Linked DNA regions of Mus musculus. The protein of the gene in region 1 purifies or fractionates together with the protein of each later gene. This does not show direct contact. Links are inferred from orthologs where the notes say so. Each region holds a gene or a part of one and is shown in the gene's direction. Other genes may lie near its edges.

The links.
Region 2: the proteins of Ppp1r10 (region 1) and Ppp1cb purify together in Homo sapiens (affinity purification with mass spectrometry; 5 studies listed by BioGRID and IntAct, with this or other methods). This does not show direct contact. The link is inferred for Mus musculus from reciprocal best matches to the Homo sapiens genes PPP1R10 and PPP1CB.
Region 3: the proteins of Ppp1r10 (region 1) and Tox4 purify together in Homo sapiens (affinity purification with mass spectrometry; 3 studies listed by BioGRID and IntAct, counting the BioPlex papers as one, with this or other methods). This does not show direct contact. The link is inferred for Mus musculus from reciprocal best matches to the Homo sapiens genes PPP1R10 and TOX4.

Annotation. Positions count from the first base shown.
Region 1 is NC_000083.6:35,923,652-35,927,297, forward strand, and holds part of Ppp1r10 (serine/threonine-protein phosphatase 1 regulatory subunit 10), read left to right. Parts: intron 1-385; coding exon 386-472; intron 473-593; coding exon 594-729; intron 730-1,206; coding exon 1,207-1,258; intron 1,259-2,550; coding exon 2,551-2,628; intron 2,629-2,748; coding exon 2,749-2,922; intron 2,923-3,120; coding exon 3,121-3,226; intron 3,227-3,322; coding exon 3,323-3,435; intron 3,436-3,646.
Region 2 is NC_000071.6:32,482,951-32,486,596, forward strand, and holds part of Ppp1cb (serine/threonine-protein phosphatase PP1-beta catalytic subunit), read left to right. Parts: intron 1-409; coding exon 410-514; intron 515-2,308; coding exon 2,309-2,380; intron 2,381-2,930; coding exon 2,931-3,082; intron 3,083-3,646. UniProt on the Homo sapiens protein: Protein phosphatase that associates with over 200 regulatory proteins to form highly specific holoenzymes which dephosphorylate hundreds of biological targets.
Region 3 is NC_000080.6:52,277,893-52,282,057, forward strand, and holds the start of Tox4 (TOX high mobility group box family member 4), read left to right. Parts: upstream 1-1,253; 5' UTR 1,254-1,303; coding exon of another isoform or gene 1,304-1,349; exon of another isoform or gene 1,350-1,495; 5' UTR 1,496-1,758; coding exon 1,759-1,764; intron 1,765-1,928; coding exon 1,929-1,997; intron 1,998-4,165. Other genes in the region: Rab2b (ras-related protein Rab-2B), read right to left, coding at 1,022-1,093, 1,304-1,349. UniProt on the Homo sapiens protein: Transcription factor that modulates cell fate reprogramming from the somatic state to the pluripotent and neuronal fate. In liver, controls the expression of hormone-regulated gluconeogenic genes such as G6PC1 and PCK1.

The DNA of each region.
Region 1 (3,646 bases):
AAAGCAGTCTTAGATTATAAAGGGAAATGTGTGAACCCTGACTCCTCCTGGAGGCAGTTGTTTCTGTGTGTTGACACAGGAAGGCTGCTCTCCCAGGTGGCTCGGGTACCTGCTATCCTCCCCTGGGTTTTTATATGACTCTAGATTCATTCCATAATTCTAGAAATCTGGTGTCTACATCTTGGAGCAAAGAATGTCATCAGGGACTCCAGGACTCCTAAGATTAGAGTCTTATGCTGTAGGAGATTAGCTGGCATGGCGCCCTCTCTGTGCCTGTCATCCTAGCTCTCAGGAGGGGAGGCTAGCCTGGGCTAATAAGACCCTGACTCTGAGATGTGAATACTAGTAATACTCAAAGCAGATTATCTATCTGCTCCTCTCCTAGTCTAATGAAGGAGGCACGAAAGATGGTGAGTCGGTGCACGTACTTGAACATAATCCTGCAGACCCGCGCTCCAGAAGTGCTCGTCAAGTAAGTGCAGTGCGGGTGACTGGACTGGAGGCTGTGATGGGAGACTGGTCTCTGGGCATGGGAGCTTGCTAGTTCTGAAACCAAGGAAGGCTCACCATATTCTGTTCCCACCTGCCCACAGGTTTATTGATGTCGGTGGCTACAAGCTTCTGAACAACTGGCTAACATATTCAAAGACCACCAACAACATTCCTCTCCTACAGCAGATTCTGCTGACTCTGCAGCACCTCCCGCTCACTGTGGACCATCTCAAGCAGGTATCTTCAGGCTTCATTACCCACAGTTCCTCTCTGGGCTAGCATAGCTGAAGAAAAGCTCCATTCAGTCCTGATGGGTGGCAGTCTGGAATTTGTGAGGTGGAATAGCAGAGGGAAATGGAAATTTTGAAGTGGAGGACTCTGTGGATTTATCTCCGTTATTAGGCATGTGCTTTCTCAGATCTGAACCTCAGTTTCCCATCTCTATAATGGGAATCAGTCCAGTGGCTCATGCCTTTAATCTGCTTGGGAGGTAGAGGCAGGTGGATTTCTGTGGGTTCAAGGTCTACCTTACCTACATAGTGAGCTCCAGGCTACCCAGGGTTACAAAGATCGACCCTTTTTCAGAAGATAAAGTATTTGCAGGCTTTGGAGCAGGTTGAAGTATGGCTGTGCAGTCAAGAGGTGGGATGGTTAATGCTGAGTGAGCTCGGCTTATTCCTCTGTTGACCCTTCTGCCTTTTCCTTCTCTCACAGAACAACACAGCAAAACTAGTGAAGCAGCTCAGCAAGTCAAGTGAGGATGAAGGTGTGTGTCAGAGTCCGGCCTGGCCCGGCCTCACTTGCTCGCTCTCTCTCTCTCTCTCTCTCTCTCTCTCTCTTTCTCTCTCTCTCTCTCTCTCGGAGGCTGCTGCTGGCTGCCTTACTGCCTCCTTTACTGGCTGTCCTTTCATTTTTGCTTGCTCAGCCCTGCTTCCCTCCCTCCCTTTTTCTGTGTCTTTCTGAGAGACAAACTTTCTCTGTGTAGCCCTGGCTGTCCAGGGACTCACTATGCAGACCAGGCTGGTCTCGAACTTCCAGCTTACTTGCCTCTGTCTCCAGAGCACTAGAATTGAAGGTGTGCCACCACGCCCAACTGGTGATCCCTTTCCATTCCAAATGAAACTTATTTTTTACATGGAGTATGCCTACTGGGAAACATTTCTGTAGGAGTGGGGTTTTGCTGTTGTTTATTTGATGTGGCATCCCTTTGTATGGCCTTGGCCGACCTGGAACTCACTTGGTAGACCAGGTTTGCCTCAAACTGGTCTGGCCTTAGAGACTGGACTGGCTGTGAATCCATGGCAGTCCTTTTGAGTACTGGATTAGAGGCATGAACCAAGATACCCAGCTTACAAGACTTATCTATTCTGATAAAAATACAGATTTATCCCTATGTTTAATGAAAATGGTCATTCAAGACCTTTAATATCAGGGGAGCTTGTGAATGTGTCAGGAGTTCTTCACTGTGATGAACTATCCCTTAAGGCAGGCAAGGGACCCACTTTACTTTAAATCACATTACTGGCCTTTAGAGCTGTTTATCTGTTTCTGGGGAGGAAAGCCAGAGTACCCTGCATACTGAGTAAGAACTTAAGCATTGCCGGGCGTGGTGGCGCACGCCTTTAATCCCAGCACTTGAGAGGCAGAGGCAGGTGAATTTCTGAGTTTGAGGCCAACCTGGTCTACAAAGTGAGTTCCAGAGAAACCCTGTCTCGAAAAAAAAGGAAAAAAAAAAAAGAACTTAAGCATTAAATGGAAACTACACTCTAGCTTTCTACCCTTTTTAGTTTTATTCTCAATATTTGGTTCTTTGGAATACTGACATTTTCCAGTTTTATGATGTCTTTTGAGTGTCCTTAGTAACTGAGAGGACATGTCCCAGGCAGAGGAAGGACGCTCTCATTACCACTGTCTCCCTCATTTCTTCCCAGTTGGCCCTAGACTGCTTTCTCCCTTGAATAGAGGTTTTTTTTAAAAAAAATGTTTATGTATTTTTTTTTGCTGGAAATACTAAATTATTGCTAAATAAGTGGTTTTTCTCCCCCTTTTCACCTTCAGAGCTCCGGAAATTGGCATCAGTCCTTGTCAGTGACTGGATGGCTGTCATCCGCTCCCAGAGTAGCACCCAGCCTGCAGGTAAGGTCCTGGGCTCTTTACCTTAGACGGTAGCCCTTGGGTGTCTCGAGGCTGGTTCTTCACCTCTGACGATCTGTTTATCCAAATGAGACGCTTACCTGCTTTGTCTTTGTATAACAGAGAAAGATAAGAAGAAAAGGAAGGAAGAGGGGAAAAGTCGAACCACGCTTCCTGAGCGGCCTTTGACTGAAGTGAAGGCTGAGACCCGGGCTGAGGAAGCCCCAGAGAAGAAGAAAGAGAAGCCCAAGTCACTTAGAACTACGGCACCCAGTCATGCCAAGTTCCGTTCTACTGGTAAGGCTGTCAGCTGGGCTTTGCAGGACCATCACATGCACAGTCAGTGCCTCAGGCTAGGAGTTTGATTGCAGTGTCAAACTCTAGGAAGGAAGGCAGGCTACAGGAGAAGCTAAGGCACTTACTCAAGGCTAGAGCATGGAGAGGGCGGCCACAGGGAGGAACAGTAAGGGTTAAAGTCACCATGTCTCTCCTCAGGACTGGAGCTGGACACCCCATCTTTGGTGCCTGTGAAGAAGAACTCCAGCACTGTGGTTGTGTCAGACAAGTACAACCTGAAGCCCATCCCCCTGAAGCGGCAGAGGTATGGGCACTGGTGTAGGTTTCTAAGGAGCCAGGGCCTTTGGAAAGAAGTGGGAATTGGGAGATGTTTTTGACTGTCCTTTCTTTGCATCTGCAGTGCCACAGCTGCTCCAGGTGACGCTGCCCCACCTGCAGAGAAGAAATACAAGCCTCTCAACACAGCCCCCAATACCACCAAAGAAATCAAAGTGAAGATCATCCCTCCACAGCGTGAGTAGGCCTGGGGTGCACTCTGCACAGGGGAAGACTTGCCCTTGAGAACCGTCTTTTGCTTTGCCTTTGATGTCTTAGCATCTTAGGATTTTTGTACCTTTGAAAACTCCCCTTCCATCTTAGTCAGGGTCTCTATTCCTGCACAAACATCATGACCAAGAAACAAGTTGGGGAGGAAAGGGTTTATTCGGCTTACACTTCCACACTG
Region 2 (3,646 bases), on another chromosome or scaffold:
GGAGGAAAGGGTTTATTCGGCTTACACTTCCATACTGCTGCTCATCACCAAAGGAAGTCAGATCTGGAACTCAAGCAGGGCAGGAAGCAGGAGCTGATGCAGAGGCCATGGAGGGATGTTCTTTACTGGCTTGCCTCCCCTGGTTTGCTCAGCCTGCTCTCTTATAGAACCCAAGACTGCCAGCCCAGAGATGGTCCCACCCACAAGGGGCCTTTCCCCCTTGATCACTAATTGAGAAAATGCCTTACAGTTGGATCTCATGGAGGCATTTCCTCAACTGAAGCTCCTTTCTCTGTGATAACTCCAGCTGTGTCAAGTTGACACAAAATTAGCCAGTACAGTAATCAAGCACAGAGGGAAAAAAAACAGTTATTGATTCTTTAATTCTCTGTGTTTTCCCTTTTTATAGGTAAACGAAGATTTAATATTAAATTGTGGAAGACATTCACTGATTGTTTTAACTGTCTGCCTATAGCTGCTATTGTTGATGAGAAAATCTTCTGTTGTCATGGAGGTAGAGTAATACATTTGCTGTTTAGAAGAGAACTGTAATAATGACAGTACTGTGGGAAAGCTGAGTGTGGCAGGAGGTGTAGAGCAACTAGAAGCCAGCTTGATTCCAGGCCAGGCAGGCTTAGGAACACCCCGTCTCAAAATAGGAAATTCTTCACTGGGCCTTACAGAGAATGCCTCCTATACAAGTGTTAACAGAAGAGTGGTCCACACACACTGGAATCCCAGGACTCAGAGGCTGAGGCAGAAGGATCTCAAGGCCATCCTGGGCCATAGATTCTACCTCAGAAAGAAAAGAGAAGGGAAAGAGAAAAGGTAATTAGATGTGTGTGGAGTATTTTTACTTTGCCTCAATTTATGCTTGACCAGCTGGTCAGATGATTTCCTGTGGTGCTGGGATCTAGCTCATACCTCAGATTTTAATAAAAGGTACTTGGCCATCATTAAGAATGAGAGGCTAATTATTTTTCTGTCTGTATTAACTACCTTTTATCAAACTCTAAACATAATTCATACAGCTTTCCAAGTTTTGTGCACTACGCCAACATGTTAGGAAATGAGGACATTAGAATATAGAGATTAGAATTTAGATCAAAAACAGTTTTCAGCTCTCCAGCTTTAGCACCCAGCTTTACCTTGGTGTGTTTCTCATTTATGCTCTGAGGATCATAAATTGCCATGACTAATGACTTTCTAAAGAGCTTCAAATGTGTAGTAGTCATGAACAATTTAGTCTTCTAAAGATGAAAGTTTTGTAAGTTTACACACATGAGAACTCCCTGAAGAATATGCAGTAAACTTTTCTATGATAGTACGTGTACACACACACACACACACACACACACACACAAAAAGTTTTTCAAAAGTTAGGGAAGATTATGGTAAGGGCTTGCTTTGAAAGTCCTGTGACCTAAATTCAATCCTTAATCAGGGATCTTGAGGCCAATGAGGTTTCTTCCTTAGAACAAGGTAGAAGCAAGTACACATTTACTCTCAGCACCCAGGAGGCAGGTAGGTATAGTTCTGAGTTCAAGGCCATCCTGGCCTATGTACCAAGGATCATGCCAGCCAGGGCTTTATAGTGAGAATCAGTCTCACCACACACACGCATACATGAGCACACATTTACACACACTATGGAACAATTTAATGATATACAGGAAAAATGGTTTCTTGGTATCATACATGGTAGTGTCTTTTGGGAAGCATAGAGGTGGAAATGCTGAAAGATGGTGGCGAGGCCTGAGACGTGAGTGGTTTATTCTGACAGCACAGTTCACTCTATTAGTTGAAATGTTGTTTTCCATAGATACTGACCATTAAAGGCATTGGCAGAGTTGAGGTGGGAATATGGCAGTGTGGAATATGTGTATTTAGCTTCATTTCTTGTGGTACTTGAATTACCTACCAGAGAAATAATACCTTATGTTCTACTTTACAGATATATTCTTGTGCTTTTTTTTATCCTTCTGATTATTAGTTTAATGCACATTTTTGCAGATAATGAGACTGTTGAGGTGGGATATGGGGAAAGGTTCCTAGGGGACCAAGAGAGGCGTATAACTTGCAAGTAAAAATGCTTTATGGGGATCTGGTGGTCATGAAGGTACAGAAGCAGTAGGAAGGTTGCAACTAAGTGTGTTCTCAGGAAGGGGGAGGGCAACTGCAAAAAAGTAGTAGAGTTTCTCCTTGGAATCTCTCGAAGAATAATGATTTATTTCCTTGGTAGAAAGATAGAAAAGATAGCATGAGTATAATTCTGCTAGATAGCAAGTCTCTTTCTTTCTATATATAGGACTGTCACCAGACCTACAATCTATGGAACAGATTCGGAGAATTATGAGACCCACTGACGTACCTGATACAGGTTAGTATATACAGAAGTTCAGTTCATTGCTTTACATAAGATGTTGACGTGCTTGGACCTAATTATATTTAGTGAAAGTCACTTAGAAACCTAGTTTCATCCCTGAAAACAGTTAACAAAGTGATCAGAGCAAGAAAAGGAGCCGCCCTGCCAGTCTTAATTAAAGTCATTAATGTGTTCATGTCTTCGTGATAAATCAGTAAAGTATTGCAATATAGGCTGGTGCTCAGTAGTAGTGTAATGCAAGGAGTGGATAAGCTGTGTACAGGAAATGCTAGCCAGAAAGGAAATAAAGGCCTCCACGTATTACATATACTTGAGTATGCCACACACATATTTCCTGTATGCAGAAGTCAACAGAAAGTACTACCCTAGGAAGCTAGAGAAAGTTGTACTTTAACAAAGACTGGTTTAGACTGGAGTGCCTAGGGACAAGGGATGATCATTGAAGTTTAAGAAGGCAGGAGAGATGTGCTGTAAATGTGTGCTGTATTCTGTGCTTGCTTCTATTTCACTGTTGGTTTGTTTGTTTTTTTTCTGTTTTCTAAAGGTTTGCTTTGTGACTTACTGTGGTCCGACCCAGATAAGGATGTGCAAGGCTGGGGAGAAAATGACCGTGGTGTTTCTTTTACTTTTGGAGCTGATGTAGTCAGTAAATTTCTGAATCGTCATGATTTAGACTTGATTTGTCGAGCTCATCAGGTATACAGTATACGATATTTTATTGTTAATTTCACACATTTTCATTTATTGGTAGGTAGGTAGATAATTTACCCTGATGTCTTTTAGTTTCTGTGACACTTGACCAAGGCAGCTTATAAAAGAAAGAATTTAATTTTGAGCTCACAGATTCTGTGACCATTGTGGCATGGAAAGGGGTGGCAGGCAGGTAGGCATGGCTCTGGAGCAGTAGCTGACAATGTCCATCTTGAGGCAACTGCCATGGGGCAGAGAGCGAGAACTAAGAATGGCTTCGGCTTTTGAAGTCTCAAAAATCCCACCCTAATACTTCCTAACAGTTCCACCTTCTGAGGACCAAACATTCAAATATATGAACTGATAACCTAGGGAAGGTAGTGGGGGAAGGGGGTTAGAGAGTTGGCTCAGTGATTTAATAGCGCTGGCTTTTCTTCTAGAGGACCCAGGTTTGATTCTCAGCATATTATGTGTCAGCTCAAAACTGTCTGAAACTCCAGTCCCAGGAGACCAGACACCTCTAGCCTCCAATAGCACCAGGCATGCAAGCCATGCAGACACACTTGTAGC
Region 3 (4,165 bases), on another chromosome or scaffold:
CAACTTTTTTTTTCTCTCAGAACAATAAGAATGTAATTTCAATGAGTAAGAAACTAAAAAACAGGCTGAGTATAGTGGTGCATATCTAATCCCAGCATTTAGGACGATCAAGTCAAAATCATGGTCAGGTTACCCAGGAAGCTTAAAGCCAGTCTCGGCGCAAAAACAAACTTATTACGAAAGTCCGTGAGGCTGGGAGTGGTGGCGCACGCCTTTAATCCCAGCACTTGGGAGGCAGAGGCAGGCGGATTTCTGATTTTTGAAGCCAGCCTGTCCTACAGAGTGAGTTCCAGGACAGCCAGGGCCACACAGAGAGAAACCCTGTCCCGAGGGGGTGGGGGGGGGAGAGTCTAATGCAGGAGGATCTCTGGGAGTTTGTGTCCAGTGTGGGTTATATAATGAATCTGAGGCTATTTGCTCCTAAAAGAAGAGAAGGTGAAGAGATTAGAGGAGGTGTCTGTGCAGGAAGAACTGCAATGTCCGTACATTGGCTTTTACCTCTCCAGACTTAAAAGAATCCTATGTTGGTGTTTATGTTGAAAAACATGTGAAGCTGGTAGTTAATAACAAAATACAGATGAGATGTTTAATAAGCAGTCATGTTTCCGTGGGATTTTTCCATAAACATACAAGTTGCATTGGAAGAAAAAAAAATCCTACGGCAACTAGTATCTTACATCCATCTCTAAAGTTACCTTTCAATCATTTATCCTCCACTTACCAGCTTTTATCATTTTTCATATACCATGATTTCAGACCAAGGTAGCGAGAAGTAACTTTTTTTGGTTTTTCAAGACAGGGTTTCTCTGTGTAGCCCTGGATGTCCTGGAACTCACTTTGTAGACCAGGCTGGCCTCGAACTCTGAAATCCACCTGCCTCCCGAGTGCTGGGATTAAAGGCGCGAGCTACCACGCCCGGCCGAGAAGTAACTTTTTATTTAGAATACTGAGACTGTAACTTTCTCCTTTAGCAGTTCTGGCAGCTAGCTTTTAGCTGTTCTGGAACGAGGGGATAGCTTACCTATTGTGAGGTCGTGCACGGGCTGGAACCGCTTGTCGGTAAACTGAAGGAGGAGACATGACTTCCCCACACCTGCGAAAGAACGGTGTTCACTAGACGCACGTCACCCGGGAAGCCGCTGGCTCCCAGACAGGGAACAGGGTCTAAGGCAGGGGCAGAGCCCCGCCCCCGGGGCTCGCCCCGCCCCCTCCGCGCAACTCCGCTCACCCCGCCCCGCCCCCAAGCCGATTTTGGAGGTAGGATCCCCGCCCCAACTCCGAAGGCGGTCCGTCGGCGGGTTACCTGTGTCTCCGATGATGATGTACTTGAAGAGATAAGCGTAAGTCATGGTCCCGAGGCGTCTGTGTTCCGGGTCCTCCCGATTTCTACAGCCACTTACCTCCGACCTCTCTAGCCACTCAATCTACGGGTCTCCTTATTTGCCTCCGCTCCAGCCCTTCTAGCTCAAGCTGCGTCTCTATTGCTCTCCCCCAGAAATCTTCGCTGGATCGGCTGTACCGGACGCCGCCTCTAGGGCCACCCAGTGCTCTTCTACATGCCATTATCCCACCAAGCTCCAGGGGGCGACAGCGACCCTTCGGGCAGCTGGGATCGAGACTGGTTGCGTCCCTGACTCGGTCCAATCATCGGAGAGCGACGCTTTCTCCTTGAGGAAGTGACGCGCTCGGAACCTAGTGGGGGCGGTGGGAGCGATGCGGACGCGGAGACGCTGAGTCGCTGGTAGTGGTGCTGTGAAGATGGAGGTGGGTGCCGAGTCTTTGAGGGCTGATGAGGGTTCGCGGCCGACTAGGGGAAGCGGAAGCGGGAATGCAGGGCAGCGAGGAGCCAGGGGGGCTCGGGAGGGCTGGGGTCTCAGCACGCCACTGCTCCGCTCACTCACCCACCGCGGCTTTCTTTTGGTTTACAGTTTCCCGGAGGAAATGACAATTACCTGACGATCACTGGGCCCTCGCACCCTTTCCTGTCAGGAGCCGAGGTGAGCAAAAGCTGCTGATGCTGGGGCGCCGGAGGGCCTAGGCAGCGGTTAGGGAAGGACGGTGGGGGTGAGCGCGGGGGCTGGCGGGAGCTGGAGGGGACAGTGGCCGAGGCTTCGAGCTCCTCTAAGGACTGTGGAGGGGGTGGGGGTGGGGGAGAACCGAAAGCGGCTGTCATGAGGAAACCAGGATGTTGAAGAGACGGCTTGTTTGAGGAGTTTCTGTTCTGAATAGGAAGAACGAAAGGAATTGTTCTTTGGTTGGGGGTGAAATAACTAACAATCTTGGGAGACAGCAAGAAAGAAAAAAAATTTTTTCAGTAAAGAAATCGAGATAAAGAAAGTTGTTTATCCAGCAGGGAATAACTTCGGACAGTTGTTATTTCTTGAATTCTATAGGGGGCTCTTTTATTTGAAATGTCTTTTCTGATAAAAGTGGTTCATCCTACTGATGTGGCATCTGTTTGCTTGGCTAAAGAACGACAGAGGGAAAGAAATAGCTGCCAGAGAACATAGAAGGGGGTAGAGTGCACCTGTTTCCCAGTGATCACAGACTGACTATGTCACCTTTGGATTCCAGTTGTCAAATGACTATAATAACAGGGTTTGGTTTGGTTTGGTTTGGTTTGGTTTTTAAAGATGGCGTGAAGTAGAAGTAATGGTTGTTGGATGTTCTAAGACCTTCCACAAGGGTCACCTAAGACCATAGGAAAACAGATACTTTGTGATTCATAACAGTAGCAAACTTATATTTGTGAAATAGCAGCGAAAATAATTTTATGGTTGGGGGTCACCATAATATGAGGAACCATAATAAAGGGTCCATGCAGCATTAGGAACGTTGAGAGCCACTGCTGTAAGATATTCAGGAAAACTTTTGGTTGACAGATTTTCCTATTAGAAAGCATAAAACTTATTTGAGCAAGCGAAAGTCAAAGCTGCAGTGTATGAAATTTTACCATTTTTTTTTTGAGAACTTGAGCCTTGGTCCATCTTTTGAGGATTATATACTACCTCCCAAAGTGCTGTGAATTCATTTGCACGGTTGTTTGCACCAAAAGTAGTTATCCATTGCTGTTGTGTCGGTTTATCCTGTGGGAACATTGTTATGGTTGAGAGATGATTGACAGTGAGTGATTGCTAGTTGCTTTTGCTTTTTGTTTTTTGTTTTGGTTTGGTTTGGTTTGGTTTTTTGGTGTTTTTTTTTCTTTTCTTTCCTTTTTCTTTTCCTCTTTCTTTCTTTCTTTCTTTCTTTCTCTCTCTCTCTCTCTCTCTCTCTCTCTCTTCTTTCTTTCTTTCTTTCTTTCTTTCTCTCTTTCTTTCTCTCTTTCTCTCTCTCTCTCTTCTTTCTTTCTTTCTTTCTTTCTTTCTTTCTTTCTCTCTCTCTCTCTCTCTCTCTCTCTTTCTTTCTTTCTTTCTTTCTTTCTTTCTTTCTTTCTCTCTTTCTTTCTCTCTTTCTTTCTTTCTTTCTTTCTTTCTTTCTTTCTTTCTTTCTTTCTCTCTCTCTCTCTCTCTCTCTCTCTCTCTCTCTCTCTCTCTCTCTCTTTCTTTCTTTCTTTCTTTCTTTCTTTTTAAATAAAAGACAATCTCACATAGCTCTGGCTGTCCTGGAACTCACAATGTAGGCCAGGCTGACCTCAAACTCAAAGATATCCACTTGCCTCTGCCTTTCCAGTAAAGAGTTCTTCCCATTCAGAACAGAACTCTTTCCTGTGATTAAAGGCATACTCTAGCACTCCTGGCTGCTGGTTTATTGTTTAACTTAATATTATTGAATATTCTCCTAAGCAAAGGGAGGTATGACTCAAATGAGTGGCAAAATTAGGAAGGAAACGAAGTCTTACACTTGGTGATTTTATTCCGAGTTCCATCCAAAAGGTCTCCATGGTCTGATTTCATTGTTTGGAGTGCAGTAAGTCACATTGTCCTTATTTATAGGAAAGTACATTTTAAAAGTAAACACGGCTGGATGTGGTGGCACACGCTTTTAATCTCAGCACTCAGCCGAGGCAGGTGGATTTCTGAGTTCAAGGCCAGCCTGGTCTACAGAGTTCCAGGACAGCCAGGGCTACACAGAGAAACCCTCTCTCGGAAAAACCAAAAAAAAAAAAAAAAAAAAAAAAAAAAGGTAAACACAAGGTTGGGTGTAGTGGTACACATCTTTAATCCTA